Pelodiscus sinensis: one gene and its partner. The protein of the gene in region 2 purifies or fractionates together with the protein of the main gene of each other region. This does not show direct contact. Links are inferred from orthologs where the notes say so. Each region holds a gene or a part of one and is shown on either strand. Other genes may lie near its edges.

What was found.
Region 1: the proteins of TNKS2 (region 2) and E3 ubiquitin-protein ligase RNF146-B purify together in Homo sapiens (co-immunoprecipitation; 3 studies listed by BioGRID and IntAct, with this or other methods). This does not show direct contact. The link is inferred for Pelodiscus sinensis from reciprocal best matches to the Homo sapiens genes TNKS2 and RNF146.

What each region holds. Positions count from the first base shown.
Region 1 is NC_134713.1:90,563,994-90,571,525, forward strand, and holds the start of E3 ubiquitin-protein ligase RNF146-B, read left to right. Parts: upstream 1-4,272; 5' UTR 4,273-4,429; intron 4,430-4,485; exon of another isoform or gene 4,486-4,725; intron 4,726-5,090; exon of another isoform or gene 5,091-5,332; intron 5,333-6,736; exon of another isoform or gene 6,737-7,532. UniProt on the Homo sapiens protein: E3 ubiquitin-protein ligase that specifically binds poly-ADP-ribosylated (PARsylated) proteins and mediates their ubiquitination and subsequent degradation. May regulate many important biological processes, such as cell survival and DNA damage response.
Region 2 is NC_134718.1:40,945,700-40,953,646, reverse strand, and holds the start of TNKS2 (poly [ADP-ribose] polymerase tankyrase-2), read right to left. Parts: upstream 3,115-7,947; 5' UTR 2,948-3,114; coding exon 2,749-2,947; intron 1-2,748. UniProt on the Homo sapiens protein: Poly-ADP-ribosyltransferase involved in various processes such as Wnt signaling pathway, telomere length and vesicle trafficking.

The DNA of each region.
Region 1 (7,532 bases), on a different chromosome or scaffold from region 2:
AAACAAGCTGAGAGAGACATATAAATGGTGGTGATTTCATATAGGGTAGATAGATAGATAAACAAATAGAGTTGGAAAAAAATTATAATCAGAATAGATATACAATGGGAGACTTCTATTCAGAAGTAATAATAAAAAAGACATGCAAGATGTAATGAAATGTTAACACAATCTAAGCTTATTGGCAAAGGAAGATGCTATTTGAGAATCTATAATCTATGGTCCGGGAGTGAACATCATATTGGCACACTGAAGGATTGGTATCTAAATGAAACAGTGCCATTTTACACATCCTCAATCAGTTTCCAGCTGAGAAGGAACACATGGATTTTAATACAATTTTGTTGGTAAAAGCATAATATGTCTGATTTTTAACTTACATTTAACTTCTTACAGTTTTGTTCACATTCACAATGTGTAAATAAACCAATTTTTGAAGTATATAAGATTTAATGTGAGTTAAAATTTATAAACAAAAAACAAAACCCTCAACAGTTAGGTTGTTGGTGTGTAGAGCCCCCTGCCGTTCATGCTAACCAATATTGTAGCATTGTCTTAAGCAACTGGTAAAAATATTCTCCTTGGGAGCTGAGTAATACCATTAGGCTCTGATTTCTGGAGGGTTGCTGTTTCTAACCCAGCAAAATGTGGAGGGACTGCTCGGAAGGGGAGGTGGACAGTTGGGGAATGAGGCTGCCCACACACACCCTGAAGAGGCAGCTTCAGTTGTCCTAGGATGGGCCTGGCTCTCTGTTCCAGTCTATAGGCTCTTGCCACTTGTGTATTTCCACTGGAGCCGGCTCCTCTAATAAGGGGGGCAAATCATCAAAGCACCTCAAGAAGACAAGGAAGAGGGAGAGAAAAGGGAGAAAGTCACCAGCCTCACAGCAGCAACTGGGGGCATTGGGTCAGATCTTTAGCACAAATGGTGGTTGAAAGCAGGAATGAGAACTTGGGGAGGGGAGCAGTGCAAAGGGCAAGGGTGAAAAGTAAGCTGAGAGGGAGATCATGTGGAAATTGGAGGAATAGGAGAAGTTTTAAAAAGTGGATTTATTGGGGGATGGGGTTTGGAGGGATGGTAAGCTGTGGCAGGAGATGATTTGAGGACATGAAGGGGGGGGGCTTTAGGGAGTTGAGAAAGGGTTTCATCAGGGTGTTCAGCTTCAGCCAAAGGTAAGTTTATTTGGGGATATGGGAGTTGGCATGGCAGGGAGTTGAAGGCTGTGGCAGGAGGAGGTATGTACAGGTATATTTACTTGGGGGCAGAGTAATATGGATGGATTTAAGTGGTAGTTGGGGAGCTAGGTGGGGCATTATTTGCAAGTTGGGTGGGAGGCTGTTGGGGAGAGGTTAAGGGGAAGTGTGGGAGAGAAGTTATTTGGGATCTATGTTAGAAGCAGGTTTGGATGAGGGGGTCTGGAGCTATGAAGAAGGAAGTTTGTGACAGTGTTGGTGGCCACTGGCTGTATCTGGTGACTCTTCTTTGTGGCCCATGCTCTCTCTTATCTTTTGCTTGTCTGCCTTCCTCCCTTACTGACTCCAGCTGTGAGCACCAGGTAGGGATGGACTTGCCACTATACTAGGATTGGGACTTGCTTGCTGGGCACTGACCACACTCAGGATGGATTCTATCTGCAGTACCATGACAAGGTGTCATGGATTCACCTCACCATTGGGCTCCAGGGACTTTCTCTGCTTGTCCTGCTGCTGCATAGCCAAGCAACTCAGCACCAACCTGGCCTTAGCATTACCAGAGATGGGCTTTTTGCTGTGGAGCTGGGCTGCGCATTGTTTGCTTGTCCTCCCCCATAAATATGTCTGTTCTATATGTTGTCTCCTCTTAGACAGTAAGATATTTGGAGCAGGGTCTATCTACTGTACAGGCCTAGCACTATAAAGTATTAATCCAGATCCGTGGTGCTGTCACAATAAAGAGAATAGAAATAAATAGTACGCCAACAACAAAAAAGGATAGCCTCAAAGGTGTATGAAACTGCTCTTTGTGGTATTGTATAAGACCTATTTTACATCTTGTACACAATAAATAAAATTTTCTATTAGGAAAGTTTGTTGATTCACTAGAATAAATCACCTTTCCATTCTCCTTTTCATATCTGACAATATATGGACCTCAACACTTTTATTTCCAGGCCAAGGCTACAGTGTATTATTCTAGGTATCTAGTTTTGATATAGTCTGATATAGCATATAATCTAAGCACAGGAATGCTTGTTTTATAGTGAGGGTTGAGATATAGTTTACATCTCACAGTGAGTCTTAAGGGGAGACCCAGCACCGGCATTAACTGTTATGGCTCCTCCACAGATGCAATGGGACCAGAACTCATTTCCTTCTGTTGCAAAAATAGCACGTTCCTTTTGTAATCTGCACTGCAGGACAGTAGAGTATGACTCATGGCAGGATGCTCGGCCATGGCAGAAGCAGCTAATACAAACACACACACGTTTGTCAAAACTTAAAAAACAAATTATCCTACAGCCAGTTCAGCGGCGTTATGATACAATACTGCCAACAAGTGTGCAAAAATCATGAGCCACACACCCCAGCAATCTTGGCTATGATTTAAAAATAATTAAAAAAAACCAATACATTTTAGTACTTTTTATTTAGTTGTGGGGCCATTAGTGTGCTGTCATGCTGTGTTTTGAAGCTATTCTTTGCAACTATAATGGCTAAAAATTACCTTTTTAATGGAAGTTGAGATTATCACATAATCACTTCAGTCAGGGAACTGGGGCTTTATGAAAGCCAGCAAATACTGTGACACTCACAATCAAATTGTGTTAGGATGCACAGCAGGGCTCAACCCATGTTAGTTAAAGCACTGCTGATTTTCATTGTGCAGTATAATCGTTAATGAGTGTGGTGACACCTACAACACTAACAATTTCAGGCATGTATAAAAAGGGTAGAGAGAAGGTACAGTAAGTTTACCCTGGATGTTGCACTGGTGAGAACATAAGAATGGTTATACTGGATCAGACTAGCTACTCATCTAGCCCCAGTATCCTAGCTTCTAACAGTGGCCAATGCCAGGTTCCCCGAAAGAATGAACCAGTAATCGTCAGGGCTGTGTCTACATTGGCAAGATTTTGCACAAAAGCGGTTGCTTTTACATAAAATCTTGCCACCTGTCTACATTGGCCGCGAGTACTTGCGCAAGAACACTAACGTTCTAATGTATGAAATCAGTGCTTCTTGCGCAACTACTCTTGACGCTCCCGCTCAGGGTTCAGGCAACGTTAATTACTTGTGCAAGAAAGCCCGATGGCTAAAATGGCCAGCAGAGCTTTCTCATGCGAGAGCATCTACACTGGCACAGATGCTTTTGCACAAAGGCACGTGCCAGTGTAGACGCTCTCTTGCGCAAATACTTTACGCAAAAACTTGTGTTAAAAGTATTTGCGCAAACTCCTGCCAGTGTAGACGTAGCCCAAGTGATCCATCCCGTCACACATTCCCAGCTTCTGACAAACAGAAGCTAGTGACAACATCCCTGCCCATCCTGTTTTTTAGCCATTGATGTACCTATCCTCCATGAACCACTACTCTTTTTTGAGGCCTGAAATAGTCTTGGGCTTCACAACATCCTGTAGCAAGGAGTTCCACAGGTGGACTGTGTGTCGTGTAAAAAAAAAATACTTTCTTTTGTTTTAAACTTACTGCCTGCTAATTTAAGACCCATACTGGAACACTGTGTACAATTATGGTGTCCCCCTTTTAAAAAGGAAAAGATTGGAGAGGTGCGCAGAAGAGCCACTAAACAATCTGAGGGCCAGGAAAATCAATGTCTTACAGTGAGACGCCTAAAGAGCTCAATGCTGGGTCAGACCAAAAGGTTCTGGCCTAAAGAGATTAATGTTGGGTCAGCCCGAAAGGGCTCAATGGATTTTAGCCCATCACAAAGACCAGGGTGCACCATAAAATCCCAGCTCCGATCCAAAGAGACGCTCTAGTGCAGCGGCAGGAGCCAGGCGCAGGCAAAAGGAGGGCTCTTTTTTCACAGGGCGGGTGGGGGGCGAGTCACCACTGACGGGAGGTAGGTGCAGCGGCGTCTCCGCCTCGTGCTGCTCAGCGGGAAGATTTGCTTTCGCCAAACGCGGGCGCTGGCTGCAGGGCTGAGGTCGCCGCCCGCGAGGCCCAGCCTGAGCCCCCCCGCTTGACGGCTGGAGAAAGCGAGGGGGGGGGGTGTCGAGTTACCGCCGCTGCAAACCACGCGGGGGCGCTGGGTTTCCGCGGCGCAGGAGCAGCCGGGTCTAGGCTGCGGGGGCGGCCGCTAACGCACGTAACGGCCGCCCCGCAGCAGCCCCCCCCCCAAGCCCTGTGGGCGTTCAGCGGCCGCACAACAGCCGCGGGTGCCTAAGCAACAAGGAGCGCGCGAGTGAACACGCGCCGCAGGAAGGCGGCTGTGAGTATTATGGGCTGGAGAGGAGGTCTCCGCAGACAGGCACCGCGGAAGGAGGGAGGAGCTATTTGGGCGCGCGCCAGTAGCGTCTCGGTATCGACACCCCCTCTCGGGCTTCCCCCGTGGGAGAGTGTCTGACCGCTCCGTTTTGCCCCTCCCTCCACTCTCGTTCCCCCGCCCCTCTGCGCCCTGACGTCGTCGCGTCTCGCTCTCGCGACAGCAGGTGACGGCGGCTGGGGCGGCGGTTCGCTCGCTAGCCCAGCGGCGAAGACACGGAGCAGCGCGAGCCGGGCCCGCGGGTGAGTCCGTGACGCCGCCGCGTTCTAGAGCTCGCCGCTGGGAAGCCAGGGGCTTACGCGCGCGGGGAGGTTCCGCTCATTCTCCCCGCGGCTCCCGCTGGGGCCTGCCCGCCTCGGGGCTGGAGCGGAGGCCGGACTCGCTGTGCGAGGCTCCGGACAAAAGGCCACAGCGCCCCCCCCCCCCCCCCCCCCCCCGGGGCGGTAGCTGCCTGTGGAGTCCCGCCCATCGGGCCAGGGCCCGGAGCCCCCGGCGGAGTGGGGCTGTGTTGTGTGGCAGCTGCGTAACCCCCGGTTACATGACATCGGCTGCCCCTCCCCCCCCCCCCCCCCCCCCCGGCTGGGACTGTGCTTATTTATTCCTTCCCCCGAGCTCAGCCCGCGATAGGGACCAGCCTGACCCGCTGGGGAGGGGCAGCGCCTCGGATCGGGGAAACTTGGCCCGGCTCAACATTTTTGTTTTCTTAAAAATAAACCGGCAAACTTAGCAGATTTGTAACTCATCCAAAGGGTTGGATCGCGCTCGGGGGTGTCCCTTGGGAGGTCGGCAGCCCAAAGTGGGCTGTGATGAAAATAGGCTTCGTAGCGTTTTTGTATGGTTTGCCCAGAGGTCTGTTGCTATGCATATTTTTTATTGACTTAAATGTTCACGGTTGTGGGAAATAATTGATTGTTTGGCCACCTCTTATTGACAGTGGATGTTGTGATTCAAGAAGGTGAAACACAAATTGTCAGCATCACATATCAAAACATACAAACTACCTGTCTTCCAGTCAAGCTTTAATAAGCAGTATTTTTCTTCTGTCTTCATGTAAATTTTCATTTTCATTGATGGACATATTTTTTCTTGGGTTTAGGTGTAAATGAAATTGATGTTTACCAACATTTACTAATATACATATTATATTTCTAAGCTTAAGTATAAGTAATATCAAATATTTGACATTTTATATGAAGTCTTACATTCAAATTTCTTTTAATACCTTCACACATGGTTGTTTTGTTTGACTATTTTGTTCGACATATTTGTAGTGTTTTCCACAGTTTCTTCTGTTGTTGGATATTTTGAAGAGTTATTGGAGATATATTTGCATGTCAATTCTTAGTTAAGGATGTAACAGTATAACTGTTTATTAACTGATAAATATGAGCTTATTGTTACCGTAACAGTTACATGCCAGCTCCCAGCCCCGCTGCCACCGTGTGTTGCTCGTTCAGAGCCTGCAGCGCAGGGTGGCAGCTGGCTTCCTGGGAGTGGGGCCGGGATGTGCTCAGGAGCCACTGTGCTCGGGAACCGCCTTTTAAGAGCACACTGGGAGCCAGCAGTGCATGGTGACAGCCAGCTCCACAGGAGCTGGCATGTAACTGTTACAGTAACAATAAGCTCATGCTTATCAAATACCTGTTTAAACAATTATATTGCACATCCCTAATTTTAATGTTTTAAATGTACAGTATTTTGTATACCCTGTTATCAAATGGTAAATTACATCAGAAATGTTTAAGGTACTTGAGGTCTAAAAAAGTGCTCACACTTTTAGTGATTTTTTTTGGGGGGGAAGGGGAGAGAGGAGGTGGAGGTAACTGACAGTTGGGCCCTTGGATTTCCTTGCAACACTTTGTGGCTACGTCTACACTGGCCACAATTTCCGGAAAAGCCACGCAAATCAGGTAAGTCAGGATAGGGAAATCCGCAGGGGATTTAAATAAACATGTCCGCTGCTTTTTTTCCGGCTTGGGGAAAAGCCGGAAAAAAAGCGTCTAGACTGGCGCGATCCTCCGGAATAAAGCCCTTTTCCGGTGGATCTCTTATTCCTACTTCGAAGTAGGAATAAGAGATCCACCGGAAAAGGGCTTTATTCCGGAGGATCGCGCCAGTCTAGATGCTTTTTTTCCGGCTTTTCCCCAAGCCGGAAAAAAAGCGGCGGACATGTTTATTTAAATCCGCGGGGGATATTTAAATCCCCCGCGGATTTCCCTATCCTGACTTACCTGATTTGCGTGGCTTTTCCGGAAATTGTGGCCAGTGTAGACGTAGCCTGTGTGTTTAAATGGAAGGTGAAGATAGACCAGTGGCCCAGTTTTCTGGTACAATGAATAGATAAATAGCCTTTCCACTGAAATTAATAGACTACTAGGGCTATCGGGTAAATATAATTTTAATCTTAAAAGCAACCTATATTTGTATGATCCAAGAAATTGAAAGCCTGTAGCTCACAATAAAGAGAATTAAATGTGTTAACTCTTTTACTGAATTGTATGATAATTGTCTTATCCTGTAGACTGTAAATTGTAGTTTATTTTATTTACTTGTCTGGTAGAGTACATTCCAGAATATGTAGTAATTGTTAGAAGGAATAAGATACAGAACTTATTTTTGTGCTTCTCAAATTTGATATCTTAAAGGAAATACTGTAGTTTGAAAATGCACACTGAGGCAGCAGTAAAGTGTTGATAGTTGACTGTTTAAAACTAGTCTTTGGAACTACTCTTTAAAATGGATTATTGAGATGGAGCATTTGTCAGATAGTATTGAATTAACAGTGAAACCTGAATATTCATTTAGTCAAAATGATAGTAAATCTGACTTTATGTACAACTTTTGGAGCAATTTAACCTACAGTTTGTTGGACAGAACTAAACTGCTAACAATCAGAGTAGTTGTAAGAAATAAAAAATGCTACTTTGACTCAGTTGATATGGTGCAGAATCTGTGCTGAGTAAAGGAAACTGCTTTTTTTACTTAATGTGTCAATTGATGAAATATGGTTTAACTTGCATCTTCAAATTATGCAGCATCAATTTAGCTG
Region 2 (7,947 bases):
ATACAAAGGTGTGCATGCCTAGGCTCTCTCAGTGGTTCTGCTGTGCAAACTATAGCACAAATTCTTTGTTACCACTTCCTGGTAGTCTCCTATTATCAGTAATCTGGTAATCCTCCAGAGTTAGAAGACAAAGTATCACTTATTCACATAATGGAACAACAACAAAAAGTTTGCTACAACTGTACTCTTTTTTCATTTTCCATTCATAATAGAAAAGTTCCATCCAAGGGAAGGCAGATATATATCTTTTCAGGAGAGGCTAACAAGTCTTTGTGTCTGCCAGAAAGATCCTGAAGTTTTAGGAAGGGAGACATTAGTAACTGTATTCAGAAAGCAAAGGGAGGAATATGGAACCCACTACTGCCAATATCTTTGCTATGTAACTGCGCACACACCACCTCAAATACAGGCAGTCCCCGGGTTACGTACAAGATAGGGACTGTAGGTTTGTTCTTAAGTTGAATCTGTATGTAAGTCGGAACTGGCATCCAGATTCAGCCACTGCTGAAACTGACCGCCAGTTCTGACTTACATACAGATTCAACTTAAGAACCCCAAGCGTCCCCAAGTCAGCCGCTGCTGAAACTGACCAGCACTGACTACAGGAAGCCTGGGGCAGAGCAACTCTGCCTCGGGCTTCCTGTAGTCAGTGCTGGTCAGTTTCAGCAGCGGCTGAATCAGGATGCCTGGGGCAGAGCAGCTGGGGTGCTGCTGCGTTGGTCCAGTAGTGCCCAGAGCGGCGCTGCAGGACCAATCGGCAGCGCTCCAGCTGCTCTGCCCCAGGGTCCACAACAAAATCCTGGTCTGCTGGGGGGGGGGGGGCACACTAGCTGCGCCCCCCCCCCCCCCCCCAGCAGACCAGGGACACCGGGAGCAAAGCTGCAGCGGCAGCGGGGTGCCGCGCCTCTGAGGCTTTGCCCGAGCAAAGCCTCAGAGGCGCGGGACCCTGTCGCGGCTGCGGCTTCGCTCCCGGTGTCCCTGGTCTGCTGGAGACGGTCCCCAGCAGACCAGAGACACCGAGAGCGAAGCCGCAGCAGCGTCAGGGTCCCGCGCCTCTGAGGCTTTGCTCGGGCAAAGCCTCAGAGGCGCGGCACCCCGCTGCCGCTGCAGCTTTGCTCCCCATGTCCCTGGTCTGCTGGGGGGGGGGGCGCAGCTAGTGTGCCCCCCCCCCCCAGCAGACCAGGCTTTTGTTGTGGACCCTGGGGCCGCTGCTGTGGCTTCTCTCCCGGTGCCCCTGGTCTGCTGGAGACAGTCTCCAGCAGACCAGGGGCACCGGGAGCAGCTTTTCTCGCCCCGGAGGTCGAGGTGGCGGATCGCTGCCGGCGAGCTCCGGGGCGAGAAAGCCCGGTTCGTAAGTGCGGATCCGACATAAGTCGGATCCACGTAAGTCGGGGACTGCCTGTATGTCTGTTTCTATTTGGAATTCAATCCTATAGAAGTAGTGTGATTTTTTTTGAAGGTTATTCAGACCTTGAAAGTTCTATTGTGCAATACTGAAAAAGGTTATTCTTATGAAGGCACTTAGAGGGACTATACTGCAAGTGTCCCTTCAATAATTAAAATAGAAAAGTCTCTTTCAAGCTTGTAGTAGAAACAACTTGACAGGCTAACAAAGGAATTTGACTTTGTCAATCAATTGTAGGTGCAAGATCTTATTGAGGAAAAAAGTCACTGAAAGTAGTGAATTTGGTCGTTAGGTTTTGAAAGCATCAGGAGTTCCATAGCCTATTAAAGTTGTCTCATGCGTTCATAAGCTTCACTTTAACAGATAAACTGTTTCACAGGTCCATTGGAACCAAGCTATCCTGCAAGAGAATTTCAGAAAACTATGGCTAACCCCACAAAGGCTTATGAATATGAGAAGAAATGCCTTCAGCAGGCATCTATTAACCATGCAGCTTGCGAGCGGGGCTCGCTGCCACTTGTCAAGCCCTGTCAATGGATAACCTGAACCAAAAGTGGAACAGCAAGGCTATATATCCACAATGACCTACGTTAAGCAAACAATGGGCTATTACATTTTGTACCATGTCCAGAATGAGCATATATCTCTAAAAATGAGTTGTCATGTGCAAGCAAAGAGTCAACACAAGTATATGGACAGCTCACCTATAGCCAGGTCTGCTCCTGAAGAGATACAAGAGGATCAACTGTCAAATTTCAGTAACTACTTTAAAATCAACATGAGATAAGGTAATTCTTCCCTTAACTCTCAGTCTCGACACTTACATACCCTACTCAATATAGTACATAAAGTCTCTCCTCACATTTTTGTAAACAGTGACTTCAGTTTTACACGAAGGGAACCAGCACGACTCGAGATTCAAAGGACTTGTCAAAGATCACAGGACGTCTGGGAAACACAGCCTAGACCTGAACCCAAATCTCCAGTCCTGGCCCAGCACCTTATTCAGAGGTTATTCCACCTAATCAGCGGCCGTATCCTCCCTTCAACTCACAACCCCCAAACGGTGTTCGGCGCCCGGCAAGCAGGGCGGATCGCCAGGCTGGCGAGGGCACAAGTGAAGGGGGACAGGGCAGAAACCCCCAAGGCCCGTCACTAGAGCGCAGACACGGCCCCTCCAGTGGAGACAGGCTGTGCGGAACCAGGAGCCCGTACGGCCGGCCACTGGCAGCTAGCGAAGCCCCGCCACACGAAGGGGGCCAAGGGCGGGATCCTCGGGGCAGCCGGAGCGCGCTCGCTCCCACGCAGGCCCGGGCCCACCAGAGCAGCCGTGAGCTCGGTACCTGCGGCGAAGTGCAAGGGGCTGGACTTCCTGCCCGCCGTGTCCCTGCTGTTCACGTTCTCGGGCCGCACCAGCCGCTTGACTCGCTCCACGTCCCCGTTCCTGCAGGCCTCGAACAGCTCCCGGGCCGGCTCCGCCGCGGGCCCGCAGCCCGGCGCCTCCAAGGGGCCGGCCGCGCCCATGCCGCGCCGCCCGGCCATAGCGCTCCCCTCCCCAGCCGCTGCAGCGCTTCGGGGATCACAGGCGGCCCCCCGCCATGGCCCCGGCTCCCAACACGCTCGGCTAGAGACGGAAGCAGCGGCCACTCTCCCCCACCCCCAGCTGCTAGGCACGGCGCGCCGTACGGCCGCCGCCGGGGAGCGCCTGATTGTGCGGCATGCAGAGCATGCGCAGTAAGGACAAGCGCCGCCATTGGACCATGCACAGAGAACGCGTGTTGCTCTGTGCGCCTGCGCGAGGCGATAATTTCTCTCCCCCCCCCCCTCCGCGCGTGCGTAGTGGGAGTGGCGATAGGCTGGGCTGGTTGAACTTGCGTGAGAGAGCCCAGTGGTGGTGGGGGGGGGATCTCGCTCCTGAAGACAGGGCGATGCAGCGCCTCCTGCTGTGCTGGGCTCGCGGCTCAGGAGATCTGCCCGCTGCCTCCACGCAGCCTGGAGCTTCCCCAGGCGAGAGTCAGCGGTTGTGTGTTGGGGGGGGCGGCGGCGGATACAGCTGCGCCATTACGTAGAGTTACCAGATGATTTCAAAAAAATACCAGACACCGTTGATCTCAGATGGGGGGTGGGACTGGCCAGGAGCGAGGCTGGGGGGACTGCCGGTGGGGAGCTGGGCTGGCTGTGAGGGGTGGGGGGACTGGCCAGTGGGGAGTGGGGCTGGCCCAGGTGCTCTCAGATCCTGGGGTGCTGCCCATCCAGTGCACGGTCCGGCAGGGCGCACTGTCAAGTCCGGTCTGGGATTCTATCCCACCCCCACCCTCCTCTTCTCGACTGTGTAGTTGTGTACTGCCTGGCTGGTAGACATGCTTACACAGCCTGAGCGTGTCTACCGTCCAGGCAGTATGCAACTACATACTGATATTTTTATTTTAATAATAAAACTTACTTAATTAGAAAATACCAGACATTTATATGTCCAGTATTTTCTCAATTTGTTTCCTGTGCTGAAAGCTCAAATACCAGACTGTCTGGTTCAAAACCTGGCAACCCTACCATTGCATTGAGCTCAGTGTAACTTAGCTCAGTTGGTGGGATGGTGTGGGTGCCCCAAGAAATGCAGAGGAGAGCCCCGGGACCAGCTGGGAGTGTCCAGCTGGCCCTGGGCTCCTAGAAGCATGCATCATAGCATGGAGCCCAGGATCAGGGGGAGCGGGGCTCTGAGTCCCCCGCTGATCCCAATTAACTGCATTTTTAACCTCCCTAATTTGTACCCTGCCCTACAGATGTGGCTGGGTATCAGCTGTGATGAGTGAAGTGGAAGTCAGGGTTCTAGTTACATTTTTCCTGGCTAAATCCCTGCATCATCTTTGCTCTTAAATCCCACAGAGTCCCTTGTGAGTCTGTTCACAAAGCACCAAGGCATGTATGGTCAGAAGTATGCCAGGTTTATAATTTGTATGTGAATGCTGCCCATAGTTTTCTGGTAAGTCCAAAGAGGCCATATGGATAAAAGTAATCACACTACTTTGCAATGCAAAGTGACTAAGTCAGTTGGCAAAATGGATGGTGAGGAGACAGGTAAGAAGAAGAGCCAAACTCAAGGGCTTGTGGCTCTAAGGCAGTAGCTGATCTAGACTTGCCTTCATTGCTAAGGTCATTCTTATGCCTGTACTTGGGAGTATCCTTGGAGAATTTCTGTGGCAAACTAGTGCCTTCACTGTTTACCTGGGACATTAGTGTCAAGTGACAAGCCCTCTATGGACAGGTCAGTTCATCAGTCTGTCTTTGAGCTCCTCCTAAACAATTGTGAGCTAAAAAGTTTCAGGGGGGTAGCCATGGTATTCTGTAACTTTTTAAAAATAACAAGCAGTCCTGTGACATCTTAGTCCTGGCCTAACTCCCCTTATTTCAAAATAACAAGCAGAGCATCCACACTACCAAGCCCATTATTTCAAAGTAATGGGCTGGTTATTTCAAAATAACTCCTGCTTTCCTCAGGGAATAACACTTATTTTGAAATAGTTATTTCAAAATAGTGTTAGTGTGAACACTTCACTGCTATTTTGAAATGACCACTCCCCCAAGTAATTCAAAGTAATTACTCCCCAGTGCTTCCTGGGACTCTTAAGTTGAGGTAGCGCATTCACAATAAAGGAGCCTGCCTCAGACTAATTTTGCAGCTTCCCCAAACTCAGGCCATGCTATTTCGATTTTGTTAATTTGGGATTTATTTCAAATATAGTTATTTCAAAATAATTTCCTAGTGTAGACCTGTCCCTAGAGCCTAACAATTATATTAGGTCATAGGATTTTGTGGGTAAAATGCACTTCATTAGATGAGTTGGAATGGAAATTACAGAATCCAGCAAAAACAGTTACTTGTCAATTATAGAACTAGTGTTAATTAAGCCAAATAAATAAGGCTCTATTTATCCGATTCATAGCATTTGATGTGGGAATGAGAATATCAAAAGGTGGGGGAAATTGCCTTTGTAGTGCATTAACTAGTATATTTATTCAAGCCCAAAGTTCATAGTGTCGACATGTTCTCTCTTTCAGGAATGAGACTTTGCTTTCTTGAAGAATAAGTTTTATTAAACCAAACTCTCACCTTTGTTGAAATTTAAGCGGGAAATTCAGGCCAGATTTTCTACATGCACACTCTGCAGTCTCCCATTCTCTTGACATTTTAGGGTAAAAAGAATCAGAGTAATTTTAATAATCAGATCTGGTTTTGGAGAACTTATATCTTTAGGACACTTGTCAGATTGTTCTGATTTTCCCATCAGATATTCTATGCATATCCTTTAAGTAGTCTACCAGTTTCCATTGCAATCTTCATAGGTGTGTGGATTGCACAGCGTTTTGTAAAGGTGACTCTTAAAATAGGGATGTTAAAATGTGTGTAACTGATTAACCAAGTAACTGCTGATTTCAGCAGTTACATGGAGGGGAGGGCAGCCAGCTCCCTAGGAACTGGCATGTGCCGAGACCCAGCTTTTAAGTTGGCTCCCCACATGTACTGGCTTCCACCTGCTGTCCCATGCTGCTGCCTCTGTATCCTGAGAACCAGACCAGGAACTGGGTGTAGCCATTTGGGTAACTAATAAGCTCATGCTTATTGTTACACATTTACACAGCTACATTCTTACATCTGTATTCTTAAATAGAAAGTTTGCAGGTGTTTTAACTATAGGACACTTATGAGCCCCCTGTAATTTAGGCATCCAGGTCACTTGATTTTTAAAAGTGCCAAGCTTCCAGCAGCTCCCACTGAAGTCTAGAGAAAGTGAAAGACGCTATGTCTACACTGCAGTGCTATTTCAGGATACCGGAGGTATTCTGCGGCTTTTGAGTGAACCCGTTATTTTGAAATCTAACAGGCTCGCTATTCCAACATCCCTGTAAACCTCATTCCATGAGGAGTAAGAGACATTTTGGAATAGTGATTTATTTTGAAAAGTACTGTGTAAACTGCCAAATTTCAAAATAAGTGATTTCAAAATTGACTTGAAATAAGCGATGCAATTTGCAAAGCTCAAATTGCGTGGCTTATTTCAAGCTTCAGGTGCAATGTAGACACAGACACAGACAGACACATGAAAAGGACAAATCACATTTCAGAACAGGAGGGGAATGCTGGGGGAGGAGGGGGGGGAGAGGAAGGAAGGTAAGTGTCTGTGAATTGATGATACTAGAGGTGGGGAGAGTGGGATGTTTGTGAGTTAATGGTATTAGAGGTGATAATTGGGGAAGCTATCTTGATAATGGGTAAGATTGTTTGAGTGTTCTGAGTGTTAGCATACTGTGGGGCCATTGCGATTACAAGCAATTAGAAACACTATCCCAGAGGACACTACTGCCAACCTGATAGCAGACCTATGTAACTTTGTTCTCACCCACAATTATTTCCAGTTTGAGAACAACTTATACCTCCAGATCAGCGGCACAGCCATGGGTACACGCATGGCCCCACAGTATGCTAACATCTTTATGGCTGACCTAGAACAACGTTTCCTCAACTCCCGTCCCCTTTCACCCCTTCTCTACCTATGGTACATCGACGATGTCTTTATGATCTGGACGCATAGCCAAGAAACACTGGAGATATTCCACAGAGATTTCAACAACCTACACCCCACCATCAACCTCAGCCTGGACCATTCTACATGAGAGATCCACTTCCTGGACACCACAGTACAAATCAACAATGGAAAATTAGACACCACTCTCTACAGAAAACCCACCGACTCATACAGTTACCTACATGCTTCCAGCTCCCATCCAGAACACACCACACGATCCATCGTCTATAACCAAGGCCTTCGATACAACCGCATCTGCTCTAATCCCACTGATAGAGACTAGAAGCTTCAGGATCTCTACCAAGCATTTATAAACCTCAACTACCCACCCAGAGAAATAAAAAAGCAAATTGAAAGAACCAGACGAATACCTAGAAACCATCTACTTCAAGACAGACCCAAGAAAACCAACAATAGAACACCACTTGTCATCACCTACAACCCCCAACTTAAACCTGTCCAACACATTATCAATAAACTACAGCCTATACTGGAACAGGATACTATACTGGAACAGGATACCATACTCCAAGAAGCTCTGGGAGACAGACCCATAGTCTCCTATAGACAACCACCTAACCTCAAGATGATTCTTACCAACAACCACAGGACATACCACACTAATACCAACCCTGGTACCTTCTCTTGTAACAAACCCCGTTGCCAGCTTTGTCCACATATTCATTCTGTTGATACCATTATTAGACCTAACCAAGTGAGTTATAAGATCAAGAACACACATTCCTGCGCATCCAGAAATATAATCTATGCTATCATGTGCCGAAAGTGTCCGTCTGCTATGTACATTGGAGAAACGTCTCAGACACTTCGCCAAAGGATTAATGCCCACAAAACAGATATCAGACAAGATCACAAAGAAAAAACAGTTTCTTGCCATTTTAACCAGAAAGGACACTCTCTCGATGACTTAACCACCTGCATTCTGCTACAAAGACCTTT